2 linked regions of the Arabidopsis thaliana genome follow. The protein of the gene in region 1 interacts with the protein of each later gene in a pairwise test. Each region holds a gene or a part of one and is shown in the gene's direction. Other genes may lie near its edges.

Region 1 (4,639 bases):
TTAGTAAGACACATTTAATAACCAAGATGATACAGAGAAAACGGGAGACCGTAAACAATTAAAATAATATACGTGACTTGTATAGTTGTATTGCTTGACACAAACTAATTAGAATGTTGACCAAATTTGGTTAACGGAATTTCACCGCCCAATTCCACTTGCTTTATATGCGATGAACAGTTGACCAGAGGAGACAAAGTGTAACAAATAGGCTATTAACAAAACATAGAAGTAATTAATACATTCATAGTTTATATATAGACATGTTGTGAGAACTTATTCTTTTCTTCTTTAACAAACAATCTGAATTCGTTTCATACTATATAAGTATTATATACTACCTAGTTATATGCTAGCTTTGTATTGACTCATAGAGTCATAGTACAAATGCTAAAATACTAAAGCTACACAGAGTGGTAGAACCAGCTGAAATATGTTTAAAACTACATGACCTAACCCAACCATTACAAATTTATAAACAAACTACATCCTGAAACTCCAGAATAGACGATGTAGCTCACTATGAACTATAATGTATGTTTAATGTCAGAACCAAATAAATTTAAAAAAAATGTCAGAACCGTACGAGAAGAACAAACAAAACTTTTTGTAGTTTGTTTGTATATATTTCTAAGTAAAAATGCTGAACACAATTATACAACCAATATATGTGATCTAATGTGCTATTTAGGAAAATTTGTCGATGATAAGTACTACGTCAGAGTCAAAAGACCCATATTGGTTTAGTCCGACTATTAGATACGAAAAGTCAAGCAAACATTACATGTAAATTTTGGTAAGATGTGAGAGATATATATGTCTTTTTTTTTATTTTTTGATAACAAAGATGATGCTAAAATACTTTTAGATCCAAACACCAATTATGAGATTCGGAAAAACTAATGTTAGAATTCGAACCATGATGGCCAATATTACATGAACTCAAGTGGCAAATTTTTTCACTCTTTTACTATTGGAGCAAGATGACTTGGTTATGTAAGAGATATGTTGCTCTCAATATTCTCATAGATCATCTCTTTCTTCAAATTGGTAAGATATGAGAAATATGTCCCATCTTTTTATTATCATACCAAAGTCTTTTATAAAATATATCATATATGTATATATATATATTGTCAAGAATAACTTGACTTCATACATACTATTTGAATTCGGATAGTATCACAAAACATCACTACCACGTAACTGTTGGAACTTCAATTTTACAAAGTATTTCCGGCTAACTTTTCGGCGAGTTTTTCAGTGAAGTTTGTCACAAAAATAAGAATGATCATATTTTTGGAATCTTTGTAATCGTTTTCAAAGTTTTCTCTCCGGATTTTCGCGGTTCTACAATAATTACATTACATATCATGATCAATATGTGACCTGATCCTCGTAGTTAATTAAAACATAATTTCCCGGTCACCATTCAAAACTTTCTAGATGGAAGATTAACAAAACAAAATTATCTTAGCTTAATTTTGTAGTAACAGAGAAGAAATGATTAACTAACATCTAATCAAGCCCACGTGTCATAAACCCCACCAATGAAGAAAAAAGAGCAAAAGACATGCACATGCAATTACACGAATACATACACCCCACCACCATCCTCCCTCCTTATATTATTATTGCCCCTTCCTCTCCTTTCTTCTTCCCCTCTTACCTTTTCAGAGAGAGAAACAATATTTCTAATCTATTACAAGTAACATGATCGGCCAACTTATGAACCTCAAGGCCACGGAGCTCTGTCTCGGCCTCCCCGGCGGCGCTGAAGCAGTTGAGAGTCCTGCCAAATCGGCGGTGGGAAGCAAGAGAGGCTTCTCCGAAACCGTTGATCTCATGCTCAATCTTCAATCTAACAAAGAAGGCTCCGTTGATCTCAAAAACGTTTCTGCTGTTCCCAAGGAGAAGACTACCCTTAAAGATCCTTCTAAGCCTCCTGCTAAGTAAGCTACACATTTACATATATATATATTCTTAGATTTTTTTTTTTTTTGGTTAAAAAGTTCTTAGTTTTTTCCAGTCCATATATATACATATATACGTGTTTATACACATCTATGTCTAAGTTCTTAGAATATTCGAATATATATAAATTTCATAGTTATATGTCCTCGCAGAACATAAATATTGTGAGGGATTTACATAAACATATGAATAAACTAAAAATTCTTGAAATTTGTAATGTTAGTTATATATATATATATATATATATATATATATATATATATACTTCCCATATACATTACCTTTTTTTGTTAAAATTTATATGCATAACTTTGATTCTTTGAAGTTATATTTGTTTTCTATCAATATAATACTAAGAAATAATATAATAATAATTAAAGCGTGGTTGAAACTTAAACACCAATACATACATGCGTACAAGCAAACATGAAATAATACATGTTATAACTTACAATCAAGCCCATAAAGGCAGTAATGGTAACTAATAATTACATTGGTTGATATACACCTATCTAAATAATGTTGTTCTATGTAGAGCACAAGTGGTGGGATGGCCACCTGTGAGGAACTACAGGAAGAACATGATGACTCAGCAGAAGACCAGTAGTGGTGCGGAGGAGGCCAGCAGTGAGAAGGCCGGGAACTTTGGTGGAGGAGCAGCCGGAGCCGGCTTGGTGAAGGTCTCCATGGACGGTGCTCCATATCTGAGGAAAGTTGACCTCAAGATGTACAAAAGCTACCAGGATCTTTCTGATGCATTGGCCAAAATGTTCAGCTCCTTTACTATGGGTACGTATTAGAAATTTCAAATCGGAAAGTGTGAAAAAACTATATTCGTATATTAAAGTATATCATTTACTACATTTATTCATACAAAACTCATGAACCTTACCGAGTTAGAGTCATAGAACTATACATTCGAACCCTATACATATTAACAAGATGAGATTTTGCTAAATGTATACAACTTAAATATGTATTATATATATTACACAATAATGACACATAAATTTATATGATTTTTGAATGTCTTGAATATCTTCAAGGAAACTATGGAGCACAAGGAATGATAGATTTCATGAACGAGAGCAAGCTAATGAATCTGCTGAATAGCTCTGAGTATGTGCCAAGCTACGAGGACAAAGATGGTGACTGGATGCTCGTTGGCGATGTCCCATGGGAGTGAGTCAAATTTAATCGTTTCATATACTTTTTTTTATAACTTATAACTTGACTCGTTAACCACATTTCCCGAAATTGGTAGAGACAAAGCCAAAGATATTCAACATCCATGTGTTATAAATACGTACAACCATGCATTGGTTGGCAAGAGACAAGAGGATCTTTCAAAAATTATACAATAGTATCGATATGTTTAGAGCTCATTCGTAGCTGGCACATCATCATATTATTGCCAAAAACCTTAGAATAAACTTTAAATGTTAACGACTCATATTCTAATGTTCTAACCGTAAACTTGAATACCTATTTCAGAATGTTTGTCGAGTCTTGCAAACGTTTGCGCATTATGAAGGGATCTGAAGCAGTTGGACTTGGTACATCTCTAACTTTTTTTTTTTTTTTTTGTTTTTCAATTTTTACCAATTTTCTTTTTATTTTAATATAATTCTGTTTTCTTGGTTATAGCTCCGAGAGCAATGGAGAAGTACTGCAAGAACAGATCTTGAATTAATAATAAAAAAAAAGAAGCATCAATGATCAACAATATGACGGGTTCTTGATTTTATATGTATTTTTATGATTGTATGTGGCTATCACCTATATATGTGTGTTGTAATTTTAAATACTTGATGGGTATATAGGGCAGTATTTTACCAGTAAGATGTGGACAAACTTGTAATGTGACCAAAAGAGAGGAAACTTCAATATCTCTGTGTTTGTGTCATATTTATTGCCCAACATGTGTCTGTCGGTTTGATGATCAATCACAACTTGATATGTGCATACATATAAATGTGTGTATGTAGGTGTGTGTACATGTACATGTGTTTTGATCCCTACTCTGCTACTTGTCGTTTCTTGTGTGTGTTATCTAATAGTTTTTTCCCAAAATGAATAATTCGTTGTTATGTTTACTATTTTACCAATAAAATCTTAGCTTTTTAATTCTACTCTCTAACCATTACTAGCGTTTTTTAGTTTTAAAAACTCTGATTATGTATTGACTTTTAGATGAAGTCTTTAATGAACAATTGAACATATCCTACAACCCACAAAAAAAATAAGAAGTAGAATTTAAAGTTGGTTTGTTGTCATTTCATCATAAATTGTGTATCCTAATTTTTTGGGACATGTGGTCCGTAATCTGTCATATTTTAAACTAACTGATGATTATATGTGTAGCGGCTTTACAAGATTAATTTAGTCATCATTTCAAAAATATGTTGAAATCAATATAATTTGTTTTCATTATTAAAAAAAAAGTGAGTAAGATACAGTTACAAAAGAGGATATAAAAGTTTTAATATTCGGATGTTTGTTACTCACTTACAATTTGTTACGACTTGCGAGTTATTGATGGTTCTTACTGGTGGATGGATGATGGATCATTAGATATATATATTGTATTCATATTATAGATTAATAATCTCATATAAATTATGTAAGTCGTTGATGCCTCCAAATAGTATAATTTGACCTCTTT
Region 2 (4,881 bases), on another chromosome or scaffold:
GCTGGAGGACTGAGTTTGCTGCAATTCTGCAACCTGAATAGCTTCAGGACATTATTCATACTGGGCTTCTCAATCTTCCTAGGCCTATCAATTCCACAATATTTCAACGAGCACACAGCCATCAAAGGCTATGGTCCAGTTCATACCGGGGCAAGATGGTTCAACGACATGGTCAATGTGCCCTTCTCGTCCAAGGCCTTTGTGGGAGGATGTGTGGCTTACTTGTTGGACACGACGCTTCACAAGAAAGATGGTTCGATCAGGAAAGACCGAGGTAAACACTGGTGGGACAGATTCTGGACTTTCAAGAACGACCCGAGAACAGAAGAGTTCTATGCTCTTCCGTTCAACCTCAACAAATATTTCCCTTCTGTCTGAAAAAAAATCCTTCCAAACTTTATGGAATGCTGTTTTGCTAGTTTTGTGTCCCTTAGGAGGACACACCTTATCTAGCTAGGTTTTATGTGCATATTCGGTGAGGAGACTATAAAACGCAACTAGATATTATAACCCAAAGTGTTAAGTAACATTTTAGAAATATTAATGTGATGTTTCTTCTATGTTTAGATGTTTTGCATTAAAGATGATACTCGTTTTGCCAAATTTAGAACTAGAGTATGTATGCTCTGTTTTAATACAAATGATTAAAAGAGAAAATTTTGTGAGTTTTGGAGGCTTTTCGATTCTAATTCTATAACAAAAAAAATTTCCTACAAAAATTTGTAATGCTAGATTTGACGTTGAAACTCTTATGATATACTTTTGAAGATAAGTAGGGGTTCATGTGCTTCATTCTCTGTCGTCCATTTAAACACTTCTTTGGTTGCATATAACTAGTTGATAGGAAGTTAACGATAACTAAAAGTCTAAAACAGATGGTTAGCCACAACGATGAGTATTTGCACACAAAAAACAGAGCCTCAATGATGAATGGGTTTTGTATTTAGTTGTGTTATACTGTATTTGTTTTGTTTGATTGGTAGAATAATATGTGCTTGTTTGTGGCACATATATAAATACATTTTTGACTGATAAAATTTAAAGACGTCATTAGCTAAATCGGTTACCACTTACCACCTTAGGTTAAGGTATAAGAAGTTATAAACTATTGTGAGTTACTTAATAATAATCTACGGATCAAAAATGTTAGAATCCAAAAAAGTGCACTAGTTCGAAATCATTTATGCGGGTCTATACATATAATTCGTAGGAGGTTACTTGAAATGATCCCAACCAATTTGTTCATATTATCTATGCTTAGTGATTTGGTTTAAGACAAAAAAAATTACCCTAACCAATATGGTTAAATTCTCAACTTATCTCGAAAAAAGGGTAGGCAAGTGTCCTACACTATAGAAATGGATAATGTTGATTTTATTGTTTTCTAATTAAAACATTGCTAAAATAGAGATCTGAAGAAAATAAAGAGGACGAAACTGTAAAGTGTAAAAACATTGATGGAGACAAGAAAGCAGAAAAAAAGAGTTACATTTTACTTTCTAGTAAGAAAAAAAAAACATGAATATTAATTATTTTTGTACATAAATATAAGAAGACAAAACAGAAAATTAAAAATAAAAAATAATCCCCAAATAATGGAGACGAAGTGGAGAGAGAAAGCTCCCACTCTCTCACACCCCAAAGCTTCTTCTTCTTCTTCCTCTTCTTCCTCTTCCTCTTCTCTAATCTGAATCCAAAGCCTCTCTCTTTATGACACAAGATCGCTCAGAAATGTCTGAAGATGACGATGACCAACAATCTCCACCGTTGGATCTACCCTCTACCGCCATAGCTGATCCTTGCTCATCTTCCTCTTCACCAAACAAATCTCGTAACTGTATCTCAAATTCTCAAACTTTCCCTGACCATGTTCTCGAAAACGTACTTGAGAACGTTCTTCAGTTCCTAGATTCAAGATGTGACCGTAACGCTGCTTCTCTAGTTTGCAAATCTTGGTGGCGTGTTGAAGCTTTGACTCGATCTGAGGTTTTTATTGGTAACTGTTACGCTCTTTCTCCGGCGAGGTTGACTCAGAGATTCAAGCGTGTTAGGTCTCTTGTGCTGAAAGGGAAACCTAGGTTTGCTGATTTCAATCTCATGCCTCCTGATTGGGGTGCTAATTTTGCTCCTTGGGTTTCTACTATGGCTCAAGCTTATCCTTGTCTTGAGAAAGTTGATTTGAAGAGGATGTTTGTTACTGATGATGATTTAGCTCTTCTTGCTGACTCTTTTCCTGGGTTTAAAGAGCTTATCTTGGTTTGTTGTGAAGGTTTTGGTACTAGTGGTATCTCTATTGTTGCCAACAAGTGCAGGTAAATGTTACAACTTATTGGATATGAAAATGCTATCTTTGAGTAATGTTTTGATAGTTATGAACTTATTGGATATTAATTTGTTTTCAGAAAGCTGAAAGTGCTTGATTTGATTGAGTCTGAGGTCACGGATGATGAAGTGGATTGGATCTCTTGTTTCCCTGAGGATGTAACTTGTTTGGAGTCTTTAGCTTTTGACTGTGTGGAAGCTCCTATCAATTTTAAGGCGCTTGAGGGTCTTGTTGCTAGGTCACCGTTCTTGAAGAAACTTAGGCTAAACAGGTTTGTGTCTCTTGTGGAGCTACATCGTCTGCTACTTGGAGCTCCACAGCTTACTAGTCTTGGGACTGGTTCATTTAGCCATGATGAGGAACCTCAGAGTGAGCAAGAACCAGATTATGCTGCTGCATTTCGTGCTTGTAAATCTGTAGTTTGCTTGTCAGGGTTTAGAGAGTTGATGCCGGAGTATCTTCCAGCTATCTTTCCGGTGTGCGCTAATCTCACCTCCCTGAACTTCAGTTATGCTAACATTTCTCCTGACATGTTCAAGCCCATCATACTCAATTGCCACAAACTCCAGGTGTTCTGGGTATGTATCCTTCTTGATCTATGTCTTCATGGCTTTATTAAGTTATATGTGACTTAACTCTAGTGACCGTATTGTTTGTGTTAGATGGATAGAATGAATAAACTTGATATTAGTTGTGTAAGGAACTTGAGTAAAATGCATGACTTGAACTTTACAATGCAGGCCCTTGATTCAATATGTGATGAAGGACTACAGGCAGTTGCAGCCACTTGCAAGGAACTCCGTGAACTCAGGATCTTCCCTTTTGATCCTCGGGAAGACAGTGAAGGTCCTGTCTCTGAATTAGGCCTCCAAGCAATCTCCGAGGGTTGTAGGAAACTAGAATCTATTCTCTACTTTTGCCAGCGCATGACTAATGCCGCTGTGATAGCCATGTCAGAGAACTGTCCAGAGCTTACTGTGTTTAGGCTGTGCATAATGGGTCGACATAGGCCTGACCATGTAACAGGAAAGCCTATGGACGAGGGATTTGGTGCCATTGTTAAAAACTGCAAGAAGCTAACTCGCCTTGCAGTGTCGGGATTGCTGACAGATCAAGCTTTTAGGTATATGGGTGAGTATGGGAAATTGGTCCGTACGCTTTCAGTAGCTTTTGCAGGGGACAGTGACATGGCTCTGAGACATGTCCTAGAAGGTTGCCCTAGACTGCAGAAACTTGAGATAAGGGACAGTCCCTTTGGAGATGTTGCATTACGGTCTGGTATGCATCGCTATTACAACATGAGGTTTGTTTGGATGTCAGCATGTAGCTTGTCTAAGGGATGCTGCAAGGATATTGCACGAGCAATGCCGAATCTAGTTGTGGAAGTAATTGGATCGGATGATGATGATGACAATAGGGATTATGTCGAGACTTTATACATGTATCGGTCTCTTGATGGTCCAAGGAATGATGCACCAAAGTTCGTCACGATTTTATAGAACGAGGAGCATTTCCGTGTTTCCGTTTTTTAAGACGGGAATGAAATGGGTAAGTGTAGGAAGCTCAGATGATGATGGTGGTGGCATCAGAGGCACACTACATGATTGTTGATGATGAATGATGGTGGTTGGGACTTGGGAGGAATGCAAGATTGTTGTATCATTATTTTCTTTTTTTATTTTTGGGTTCAAAAGATGTTATTTGGGTGGTTAGGTGGAACAGTGGATGTATGTTTTGGGAGCATCGGTGTTAGTTAGACAGCTGAGTTGGTTCTAATAAGCTGCACTTTTGGCTCTCTCTAGTTGTTGTTGTTGAGAAACTAATGAGACATCTCTCTCTTTTGTCTTTCCCATTTTTAATTAATTTTGAGATATTTCATCTTAATCTGTTTAAATTATGTCATTTGTCAGCAAACTATAATGTAACTTCAAGAAAAGATCATTTTGATTCGATTCGATTATTTGGCTTCGTTCGGTTAAAATGTGGTACGCGTAACTAAAATGTAGGGTGAGGGAAAGTGTGGTGGTGGAGAGATATGAGCTAAGGTTCTTATCCAAAGGAAGACCTCTCCTTTTGCCTTTTGTTGACAAGCCATCTTTGTCCCCAAAAGACTACATATTTTCAACTGACAAGAGACCCATCATTTATTTCTTAAAGGTCATAACCAAAACTGAAATAATGCAGAGGATGGTGACAAAAACATATGATGGTGGTGGATTAGAGATAATTTGGAAAAAGGGGGCTTAGATATTAGGATTGATGTGATCATCTTACCTACTCATTAAACCACTTAACCCCAATGTTTTTTATGCTCCCATCATTTCATCCTTTATCATCCTACGGTCACCATTCATCCAACTTTCCATCTCCATTCCCTCTCCTTCCATATACTATTACATAAATAAATAAGATATTGTCTTAGTTTGTTGGTTACATGCATTTGTCCCTTACATAGAATATGTCTTCTTCTGTTCAACTTCAGTTGGACGGTGATATTAGCCACTACCATTTGGGAAGCATTTAAACGTAGAAGATATTATCTTTTCATATTTATAGTC

The links.
Region 2: the proteins of IAA7 (region 1) and AFB5 interact in a two-hybrid assay, tested with the Arabidopsis thaliana proteins (one study listed by BioGRID).

The regions. Positions count from the first base shown.
Region 1 is NC_003074.8:8,193,055-8,197,693, forward strand, and holds IAA7 (indole-3-acetic acid 7), read left to right. Parts: upstream 1-1,551; 5' UTR 1,552-1,713; coding exon 1,714-1,952; intron 1,953-2,509; coding exon 2,510-2,763; coding exon of another isoform or gene 2,764-2,774; exon of another isoform or gene 2,775-3,020; coding exon 3,021-3,156; coding exon of another isoform or gene 3,157-3,160; exon of another isoform or gene 3,161-3,468; coding exon 3,469-3,530; intron 3,531-3,621; coding exon 3,622-3,662; 3' UTR 3,663-4,101; downstream 4,102-4,639.
Region 2 is NC_003076.8:20,333,361-20,338,241, reverse strand, and holds AFB5 (auxin F-box protein 5), read left to right. Parts: upstream 1-1,570; 5' UTR 1,571-1,710; coding exon 1,711-2,312; intron 2,313-2,402; coding exon 2,403-2,901; intron 2,902-3,063; coding exon 3,064-3,822; 3' UTR 3,823-4,345; downstream 4,346-4,881. Other genes in the region: AT5G49990 (Xanthine/uracil permease family protein), read left to right, coding at 1-378.